2 linked regions of the Arabidopsis thaliana genome follow. The protein of the gene in region 1 interacts with the protein of each later gene in a pairwise test. Each region holds a gene or a part of one and is shown on either strand. Other genes may lie near its edges.

Region 1 (7,426 bases):
CATCACTTTCTTCATTTTCTTCCTACTTTGGACAGTAGTATTTAATTTTATAATCAAATAATGATCTTGTGGCATACTCTTTTGATCATTGTCTCCATGCTCATGTGTAAGATGTTAGCCTTATAGTAGCTTGTGATGTACAAGGTTGAGAGATCTCTAACGAAGCTAAATATAACTCTCTGGTAAAAGTATCACGGATAATGTTGAGGAATCCAATCTATTTTTAATAACCTTCATGTTCAGTGGAAAAATATTTTAGAATTGGACCCTCACCTTCTGTTTTCCTGTCTTTGTAGCTAAGCTGGTAGAACCAGACAAGACGACATGGCTGGACAAATATATCCTTGTTAGAACGACGTTTAAACATAAGAGCTGCCTGCTTTCATAAAGAATTTGAGCCCAACTTTGAATTTTGGGTGGGAGGAACACAATCTACATTATTGGAGAAAATGTAAGCTTTCTTGTGCTTTCTGTCGGCACATTTTCTGGTTCTGGAACAGTAGGAGTTTGTAGTGGGGATACAAAGAGACTAAGTTTTATAAAACGTGGAAGACCACCAAGTGTTAGCTGCTTAATTGGAACTAGGTTTCTTCTTAAACATAGCCATACAGATTATTTTTTCCTGTTTTTACAATATCAGTTTTAAATGTTTAATCTCATAATCAATATCATGAAATGGATATTCTTGAATCCCGGCACATTATTTTCCATGTACATCAATGCAATCATGGACTAGATAGTATCCTGTAACCAGACATGTCCCAAAAATAAATAAGCGAAACACACAGAATTTTTCAATCGCCATAGTTCCAGTCTTGCAGAGTTTAAGAAACCAGACAATAAGATTGTACATGCATAAAATACAAGTCTATGGAATTCATCTCTTTTATACAAAAATCTGCTAGGGCAATACAGGAGACCAGTTACTACTGCCACTTCCAAAATGTTGTTCAGGGAACTGGAAATATGTTTATACAGGATTCCCATGCTGAAAAGGTAAGTGAGATTTCTACAAAAGCTAAAAAAATCAGTAGAATCTTCCTGGTGCTTTGCAGTTACAAAACTTCGTTTAATGTTTTTCAGGAAAGACCAGTGTTGCCAAAAGAACCACTTAGCTTGACTTGAGAAGCTTCGTTCAGACTTATTTTAATTGTGTGGGTCTGTGTTAATCTATATATGTCAATGCATTCCACGAGATCCGCTTCACATGTCAGAAGAACCCACTCCTTATCATCATCCAGGTACTTAAGGTCAAACCAGGAAATGTCATCTATGTTGAAACGCCTAGCAATCTCTTGCTTCAGCTCTGCGAAGCCCCAACTCGGGAGTAAGGTAAACCGTATTCTGGCCTCACCAAATGTCGCTTTCACTTTGATGGCACCTCTAGCTCTTAAACTCGTGTTGCTACTACCTGTTAATGGAGATGAATTATCAAGAACAAGAGGCTCCTTGAATGTTTTATGGCTCTGGGTTCTTGCAAGACATTTTGTTTCCTCCTGATTCACATTATGCAGTTGTGCTTCGCTATGAGCTCTCTTTAACACCGCATCAGCATCCTCAGCAACTAGAATGTTTCCAGTATTCTCATTATTGTTGCTTGAACCAGAGCTCTTGCTGCAAGAAGATGATGGTGACCTGGGGTTTTCCTCTGCCATAATACCATTATCGGTTTGAGCATTCAAATGACTTGGCTGTTCATTACTCTTCAAGGAAGGGCCATTGCTAGACATATTTGGGGAGTTCAACTCTGGGAAGCTTGTATAGAATGAATCGAGTTGGATAGAGCCCTGCGCACCTTGGACAGAGTCCATAACTAGTTGGAGTTTCTTCAACGAATGCCCAACCTTCTTGATTTTTCGGGAGGGCCATCGCATTATTCCATGTTGCCTGCATATCCTTTTCAAGGTAGTTGGACAAACTGCAACACAAGAACGAAACCTTGTCAGATCACTGTCTGAGAGACAGATAAATAGCCATGATGAAAATGTTTGTAGAGCATGATGATTGATCCACTACCACATAGATATAATGTAAGACTGACTTCTGGTTTCATTGATATTTATGTATATTGGCCATGGAGTTTTCACATATCCTGAGGCATGAATTTTTGTTCAACATATTCATTTGGAATGTTTTGGGTTTTGACTAATGAACGTAATGGTTATGCTTTTCCCAAGAAACAATAAGAATCAAAATTCATAAAGAATGGGGCTATGTCACCAGCAGTGTACAACATTCTCTTACCACCAATGCTCTTGGCTGCATCCTTGAGGCTTCCAGCAAAGTATTGTCGAAGAACCTCCAAGCCAATGGTCTTTTCTGTTTTTGCTCTTTTTTTCTCCCCTGGTCTCCTACTGCTTAACATATTTCCCCCACCAGTCGAAGCTGATTCTGTGCTTGGACCGATGTCGACTCTGAGTCCTGGAGTTGATGCTTGCTGTAATTGCTCAGCTTCTAAAGGAACATTATTGGGGACTGGATCAAGCTGACTGTTCTCCCGGCCAGATGAGAGCTCTTTAGGATCTTCTTTCTGGTACTCCCAAGAAAGTGATACATCTTTACCCTTCTCGTTTGCCTTTATCATGTGGGCGATCCATGAGGATTCTTGCATTTGAATTTCTGTCAACGACTCTACGGTTTCTGCTCCACATAGCAGGTTTTCTGAGAAGAGCATTGTCTCTCTTACAGGTAATACGACTTCTAACTCTAGGTCTTTGATGAAAAGATTTGAACTCCTGAAATCTTGCTGCAGTGTCACACATAGTGACTTGAGCATTTCCTGTTGCGCTTCAGTGTCAAGGCATGCTTTCGGAAAGAAAAATTCCAACACAAACTCAACCAAACCAGATTTGCTCTTTAATGGAACTGCTAAAGCAGCATGTAGTCCAGATATCTTGGCGTGGTGTGCAAGGGGGTAGTTAGTCTTGCTAAATGTGGCCACTTCGGGCACAAAAAAGAGTTTGGTGGCTTCAAATGCTTTCCCAACAATGCCTTCCCCCTGGAGCAGATGGTGTTCAGAGCATGCCTCCCAAAAACTTTTGCTCTGTTCGTCGGGGACAGAACAAGCAGAATCGATTGTTGAAACACACTCAGAGAAGTTCTCATCAGAATGTCGGGAACCAACTTTCCCTTGCCGAGCACACGGCGCCCATGACAAAGCTAGAGGAAAATCATATGATCTGCAGATTGTGGCCAGGAAATCTTTTATTTCAGGTAATGCAGCACAGTAGAAATCACTATAGACCTGCAGAAACTGAAACATGGAGTATGACCTTAGCAATGCATATCGTTGTTTCTAGGAGCTGAATGAACTAAGAATCCAGTTAATGCACCTCAGAGCTTGGAGTGTTCAAGTTACTTGAACTCCTTAGATCGACGGCCTGCAAAACAGCAGCGTCTTTAGACTGTTGTGGCACATAAACAAAACTTCTCACTGTTATCACAGACATTAATCAAAGAAGATTATGGCTGAATGACTGACAGGAGGAGACATGATGCAGAAAGAAAGATGTAGAACAATCAAAGTACAAACGTATGCAGAAGATGTTGTTGGACTCTAAAGAAAACCAAAAAACAAACTGGACAAATGTGAGGAATTGAATAATGAGCAAACAGAGAAAGCCATCCAGTGAAAGATACATTCAAGCATGAGGTTTACTGGTTGTATGGGTCTAAACATGTGAGGTAAGCGTTGCGGGATCTATAGAGTAGTTTGAGGTAGAGGCAAAACCTCAAGAGCTTTACACATCTTCTCAAGTTCTTGCCGGTAATTCATCTTCTGAGTTGTTGTGACGATCTCAACAACACCCAAACAAGTCCCACTACCTCTTTCGAAAACAGGAAGGGCAAGTGAACCACGAACATCACACTTTTGTGCTTCTTTGATGCGTGGATATTCATCTCTTCTAAAGAAACGCACATCAGGAGTCCACTCAGGAAACTTCTGCAAGAAAACACGACCGGGAAGACCCACAAAATCTTTCATACCCTCATCAGCCGGGAAATTATAAGTCTCTGAAACATGTCTGTATTCTGCAAGGCTGGAGTATTCTTGGTTGAATAAATGTGGCTGAGCCCAAGTAGTAAGAAAGCTCTTCCCTTCCTGCTGAATTGGCACCCATATCTGAACCAAGAAGTCCTTATCTTGCACCGCCTCGTTAAGACCACTAATAGCTTGTAGTAGCCTCTCCTTCACAGATGAAGACGGGCCTTCACTTGCACTTGGAGCAATCCACCAACTTTTTCCCACCTCAGCTTCTTCTAGGAGAAACTTTTCAGCCTGAGGAAACATTCTCTCTGTTTCTTCATTAGAGAAATTATCTTGAGATGGATTCTCACCAAAGCAGAGGAAAGGGCTATTGTCATTCATGGCGGTAGAAGCTGAAGGAGATTGTTCTGTCTGCTTCAAGCTCTTACTATCTGTTGTCTCTAGCCAACATCCATCAAACAAGAGTTCATCCATGAAATCCAAATCCATGGCAGTGTCAGCGAATGCCCCAAAGCTAGAATTAGGTGAAAACCCACCATTTCCTTCGCCTCCATCACTACCACCATCATCTTCCATGTCTAAAGATTCGTTTTTATACCTCCAACAGATACTACCAAATCCTCAAGTTCTCAGAGACTGTGCTTAGCTGTTGTTTACTCAAGAACCGAAACTCATAAGGGTCTTGAAGATGAATAGAGACAAGACAAAGTCCTCTCCTTGGAATGTTAAAACCCAATCTGAAAAAGTTGCAGAAACATTGTCAAAGACCCACCCAAGAATAAGACAAGAGAAGAATCATATCATAGAGATGCTATATAATCTATATAAGTAGCTTCGCTTTCAATGAAGAGTTGACTTAAGAAGGTATCCATCAATCAAAGTAGAGTGCCATCAATTTCAATTACAAAATTCTCACCTATGGACATGGAAACGAAATCAAATCTGATTGTCCATGAAAGGGTAAGATTTTCACCAAAAGTTACTAACTTTATCAAGATTTGTTTGCACAAAGAAACAGAAAAAGCTTCACTTTGGGACCTATACCCAAGAACACTTAGAGAAAGCACCAACAAACAAAAAAAAAACATTGAGAAGATGCACAGACTGGATTTTACTCTGTCTAATGTAAAAAGTAATTGGTCTCTCTATTTCTTCATACATATAATGGTAAGCAAAATCAAATCTGAGAATATATATAAACAAAACAAAAACAAAACCTGTGAAATTTCTTATCACAAGAAGCTTCTCTCTTTCTTGAATGGTGTGTTCTTTTTTTCCTTCTTTTTCTTCTGGACACAAGTACTTGGTGAAGGTGAATGATTAAGATTGTTTTAGTCTCTAAAGATGTAATTATGAGCTTCAATATTCTTTTTAGAGAGCAAGTGGACCCGTGATAAGAGCATCCACTGTTCTAATCACACTTACATACAACTTTGTCTGTACCTGTAAATCTGTAATAATAAAGAAAGTAAACAAACAGTCGCTTGGTTTCTCAAATTTAAATCAATCTTTTCTTCTGAAAGAAAGATCAAAGAAGGAAACAAAAAAAAAAAACAAGTTTCTAAGTTTTGGTTTGGAGCCTGATGGTTAAATGTTCTTATTTAATCGTGTGATTGGTGTTATTCTGACCTCCTCTTTGTTGCCCCTAATCATAATTAATTCGTATAAGATTATTATTATTATTACTATAACAGTTGTGGTGATTACGTATGCGTACACTTTGTTTTATTTCTTCGTCGGTACTTTGTGTTTTTTTATTCGGGGATGTTTCATTGGTTAGAACTTGGCTGTATCAATCGGATCAAGATCATTTCTTAGAGAAGACATGTCTTTCGTGTTGAACAGGTTCGTTCGTTCATCAATATAGTTTGACCTTTAATACTTTATTTTCGATTTCTCTTATATGAATATTCTTTCTGACATCAGCTCGAGTCTCAAAGTTTAAAACATTTTGTATATAGGATGGAATCTATATATGATCGATATATAAATAATTGCATTAAAGGCATAATGATTCACACAATTATGGTAATATTTATTCTTACACATGAAATTGCTATTTATGTTCCAAAATGTCGTCATTTTATTAATTTCATGACAAAAATTACTGTCATAAGTTGGGTGCTAACTAGACAGGTTGTGAACTTCCCAATGTTACACATTATCTAAATCGATATAAAAACAAACCCAAAAAAAAAAAGCGAACAGAAGAAACAAATCATTCATCTTAGGTTTCATCATTCAACCAAATTTAATGATTAAACTTGAATATTTGTGTATATAATATATTAATATGTACATTGATATCCAACGGGTCGGGCTTAGACGCTTAGTTAAATGATCAAAACGGCCCTCAATGATTTGGGGAGCCATAGTCCGATCCCCATTAGCCGCGTCCGGGACAATGACATGACCAAACCAAAGGTCATCAAACTCTTTGAAAATAGTTGAATCCTCGTGTAAATCATAAATAACGTATCAATAATAATCAAAGGTTTATACTTTATACTATAAATGCGCACGACGTCTCTTTCTCTCTCTCTCTCTTCCTCTATTTCTTAGATTTGTCATTTGTTATTCGTCTGAATACGGCAGGTCCTATCTACACATGTAACAATAATGTCGTTTAAAATTAGTGTTTTTAATCTCACTGCCAGTACTATAAGATTTTGATATCATATAAGATCAATATCATTGATCGATCCGAGACAAAAGAAAGAAAAACTAAATTATGTTCATTAATCGTTATGTATAGCGTAAGTCGTGTGATGTCAAACCATCTCGTGATTGAGTATGATGGGTACAAAAGCTAGGAGACCAAACCCTGAGGTAAAGTAATTACTGATTGTATGAACAATTTTTGTGTGAGCAAAAAAAAACCTGTAAAATATATATATATGCCCATGATAAGATGATATCACATTTTTGTAATGAAAACGGTGTGATTTAACTAAATTTTATGTCCTTATCTTGGTGCATACAAGGCGTTTTCAAAGATACATATAATAATTTCCCGTACAATCGAATAGAAGCATTGGATTATTGGAATAATACATGTTTTATCGTACGGTAACTTAAGTGCTTACTCGGTTCTGTTTGATAAGGTATACGAAACAACATTTTCAAGCTTATGCCTTCTTAATGATCTAATTAAGTATGCTTAACTGTTTTTATTTGCTTAATGGATATGTTGAAGTCAAAGAACAAGAGGTAATCAGTTCTTGCTTGTCTCTTCATACTATTCATATCTGAATGTGATGTTATATAATATATTCTTATTGTAGGAATCGTGAACCCTAAAAGTGTGACATTGATTTGGTACTAAATATCATTGTGAATCTGCTAACTGGAAAGCGAATTCCTCCAAGCCATGTAAGCCATTCTGTTTCAAACCATGTAAGCCATTCATCTTGACTTTGTGACTTTAATCCTTAGAGA
Region 2 (3,117 bases), on another chromosome or scaffold:
ACTTCCCAAGCATGCCTGCTGTTGAGGTCTTGTCTGGTGGTTCTTCATCTACTACAAAAGACGTGCCAGTTCCTCTTCAGGAGGATATAGAAAAGAATGACGTGGAGATAACCATGCTCAAGGAGCTCGAGGAAATGGGTTTCAAGGAGATAGATTTGAACAAGGAGATCTTGAGGGATAACGAGTACAACCTGGAGCAGTCTGTTGATGCTCTTTGTGGAGTTAGCGAGTGGGATCCAATCCTAGAGGAGCTTCAGGAGATGGTAAGTGTGTCTGCACTTGGTGAATTTATTAAATCTTACTTTGCAGATTGGAATGTTGAAAATATTGTGATTTTGCAGGGCTTCTGTGATGATGTGACGAACAAGAGACTGCTGAAGAAGAACAATGGAAGCATCAAAGGCGTGGTAATGGATCTCCTCACAGGGGAGAAGGAGGCTTGATGAGCTCTTTGGTTTCTGGCAACTCTTCTCTATCTCTCTTATCTATCAGGAATAATTATGTTTTATAAATAAAACCTGATCTCTTAGTTTGGTTTCGTGCTGCGTCACATGGTCTGTTCCTTTGCTTTGTGTTGGGATGATGTTACTATGTTAACTCTATCTAAGACATGGATGGTTTCTTTCTTATTTCAGTTTAGTTTATGTCGTTCTGCTCCTCGGGTCAAATGAATGGTTGAGTCTTTTTTATTGATTTCATCACTTTAGGCCTTTTTGGTCTCCATTTCTCAGCTGTATTTGGCTTAATGTGAGTTTGTGAGAAGAGCTTTCCTTGAAACAACGTACTGTTTTAATTCACATTTACCCTCTCATCTCTCTCAATCAGGTGACATTTTCACGTGGTCGAATCATCGGCATGGCAGTTGCAATTAGTCATGGTGGTCGGCTTCATTAAACTGTTTACAACTGACAAAACTTTGTTATTCTATCCATAGAAACCATTCAAAAACCAATAAAAGTTTTTGAATAGACCAATAAAAGACATTCATAATTGATTTCACTTTTTGAGAAAAATTTACAAGTTTGAAGTAGTAACATGATGAGTTTGTTAGAATCTCTTTGAAGACGAACGAGTGAACAAACTCCTAAGGCTGTTTCTGCTGTCTCTAGTTTTCTTCTTCTTCATCTTCTTGAGGCCATCATTATCTGAAGAAGAGAAGGTTTGTTCTTCTAAAGTGAGTTCGCGTTCCAGTTTCTTAGAGACCGAAAGAATCTCGTAGGGATCCCACAGCGACTGTCCGAATTCCCAATCCAAAAACGACGGATGATGCTTTGCGGACAAGGCTTCCGTTTTGAAACGTGATGCCTTCCCTTTGACAAAAGCATGCTTTCTCTGCGCATCGAACTCTAAAACAGTATGTTTTGAGGTTTGGGAGTGGCTGAGCCAAGCCTGCGCAGCTGCCTTCATCAACTCTAGTCTCTTCTTCTTCTCCTCTTCTTCTTCTTCATTTTCATCTTTAGCCTCTCGTTTCTTCCTCATCTCTCTTCTTCTTCTTCTCCATTTTGGGACTTTTGGGGATCCAAGTCTTATTATGTAAGGTTTAATGTCAGCCTTAAGTTTCTTGTTCGAATCTACTCACTTCTGTCTTGTCTTCTGTCTTGTCTCTTCCTTTTCATCTTTCTTTGTTTATTATTTATTTTCATGCCTCGTTTTTTCTTAGCCTTTAGATTTTCAGATGACAAAAACAAAAATAAAAAAAAAACAGATCAGATGACTTGGTTGCTGACAATTGTTCATTATCAATTTATCATCGATTCGTTTATTGTCAACAATTTAGAGATGTTAAAGATGGTAATAACCCATTGGGCATCTGAAGCCCATGTTTAATACTCAACCCGTGATCTGCGTTTCTTTATCACAAAATAATAAAATGAGCATTTTCCCCTTCATCATAGCTGTAGATGATGAAGTGATGTTTAATCAACAATTAGCATAACATTTTTCTGAACAACACAACTTCATTGTTATTTGTTTATGACCTCACAAAAATGGTCATTCAGGTTGTTCAGACTTCTCTCTCTTAGCTGTTTCTATCATTGTACACAAGAAATTACTTGGATCATGGCTATATGGATCTGCAAGTGCTGCGTGCGCTAAAAACGGAAGCTTCCTCAATGATCTCCCACTTAAACCCTGTACATCAAGAAGTTGATCCCAATTCATACTTGCTTTTTTTAAGAGTATTCTCAGTTTTATTTTCACTGACTCACTGCTCTACAATCAGTATAAAAGTATTCCCAAAGACTAACCTCGCACCCTTTTGCAGCTTCTATCAACTGTTTGCAGAACCAAGGAACTGTATTTGTATCATGAACCTCACTTTCACTTAACTTTTCTTTCAAACTTGAAAAGCTTGGAATAGAGAGTCCATCACAGCCCTATACCAAGATTTATGGAGCTTATAAGATATAATTGCTCCTCCTTCAGTGGTATTAACAGGAAAATATGGAATTCGAAACCTATATGATATGCTCTTATATAGTACCTGGAAACTTGATATGATCCCTTTACTTATTAATTCCTCAACACAAGACCTTAATATTTCATAACGAACATGAAGAGTTGGAGGGCCAACATAAGCTTTTATGTCAGCTCGATCCACGAAAGCAACATCTGCAACAAATATCTTGATCTGTGACATCTCACAAAACGTGAATATTATGCGGAAGAACAAAGATCTATTATATTAGAGAAAAAGTCATGAGGCTGAGGACAGGATCAAAATAGGCTACCAATAGCAGTAGTTATGTTTGATGTTGTAAGGATTATCACATTCGGTGCTGATTTCAATTTGTCCATTTGGGTGAGTAGTGCATTCACAACCTGCAACATATGAATAGGGGGATTTGGTTTTCAAGGGTTAAGAATTGATCTTTTCACAAATTCTAGGTGTATACGAAATTTAGAAGCTAGTTGGTCTACCCGGATAGAATCTGACGGTTCTGAGCCAGACAATGCAGCTTTTCGAGCAGCAGCAAGACTTTCTACTTCATCTGCAGGCAAAACAATCTCAGGCCTACACAAGAAATAAGCATGCAAATATAAAAAGTTATGAAAAAATCATAACTCACCGATCAAAACAAATACCAGATTTCCATCTTCCTCCACCATCTCTTG

Evidence for each region.
Region 2: the proteins of AT2G17150 (region 1) and AT4G24700 interact in a two-hybrid assay, tested with the Arabidopsis thaliana proteins (one large-scale study listed by BioGRID).

The regions. Positions count from the first base shown.
Region 1 is NC_003071.7:7,465,970-7,473,395, forward strand, and holds AT2G17150 (Plant regulator RWP-RK family protein), read right to left. Parts: upstream 5,618-7,426; 5' UTR 5,206-5,617; exon of another isoform or gene 4,905-5,205; intron 4,726-4,904; 5' UTR 4,565-4,725; coding exon 3,731-4,564; exon of another isoform or gene 3,450-3,730; coding exon of another isoform or gene 3,381-3,449; coding exon 3,333-3,380; intron 3,254-3,332; coding exon 2,245-3,253; coding exon of another isoform or gene 2,162-2,244; exon of another isoform or gene 1,919-2,161; coding exon 1,080-1,918; 3' UTR 718-1,079; downstream 1-717. Other genes in the region: AT2G17160 (Interleukin-1 receptor-associated kinase 4 protein), read left to right, coding at 6,785-6,817. UniProt on the Arabidopsis thaliana protein: Probable transcription factor.
Region 2 is NC_003075.7:12,743,760-12,746,876, forward strand, and holds AT4G24700 (uncharacterized protein), read right to left. Parts: upstream 1,594-3,117; 5' UTR 1,480-1,593; coding exon 1,048-1,479; 3' UTR 811-1,047; downstream 1-810. Other genes in the region: NBR1 (ubiquitin-associated (UBA)/TS-N domain-containing protein / octicosapeptide/Phox/Bemp1 (PB1) domain-containing protein), read left to right, coding at 1-263, 342-443; AT4G24710 (pachytene checkpoint-like protein), read right to left, coding at 1,993-2,133, 2,250-2,378, 2,486-2,613, 2,733-2,823, 2,923-2,993, 3,072-3,117.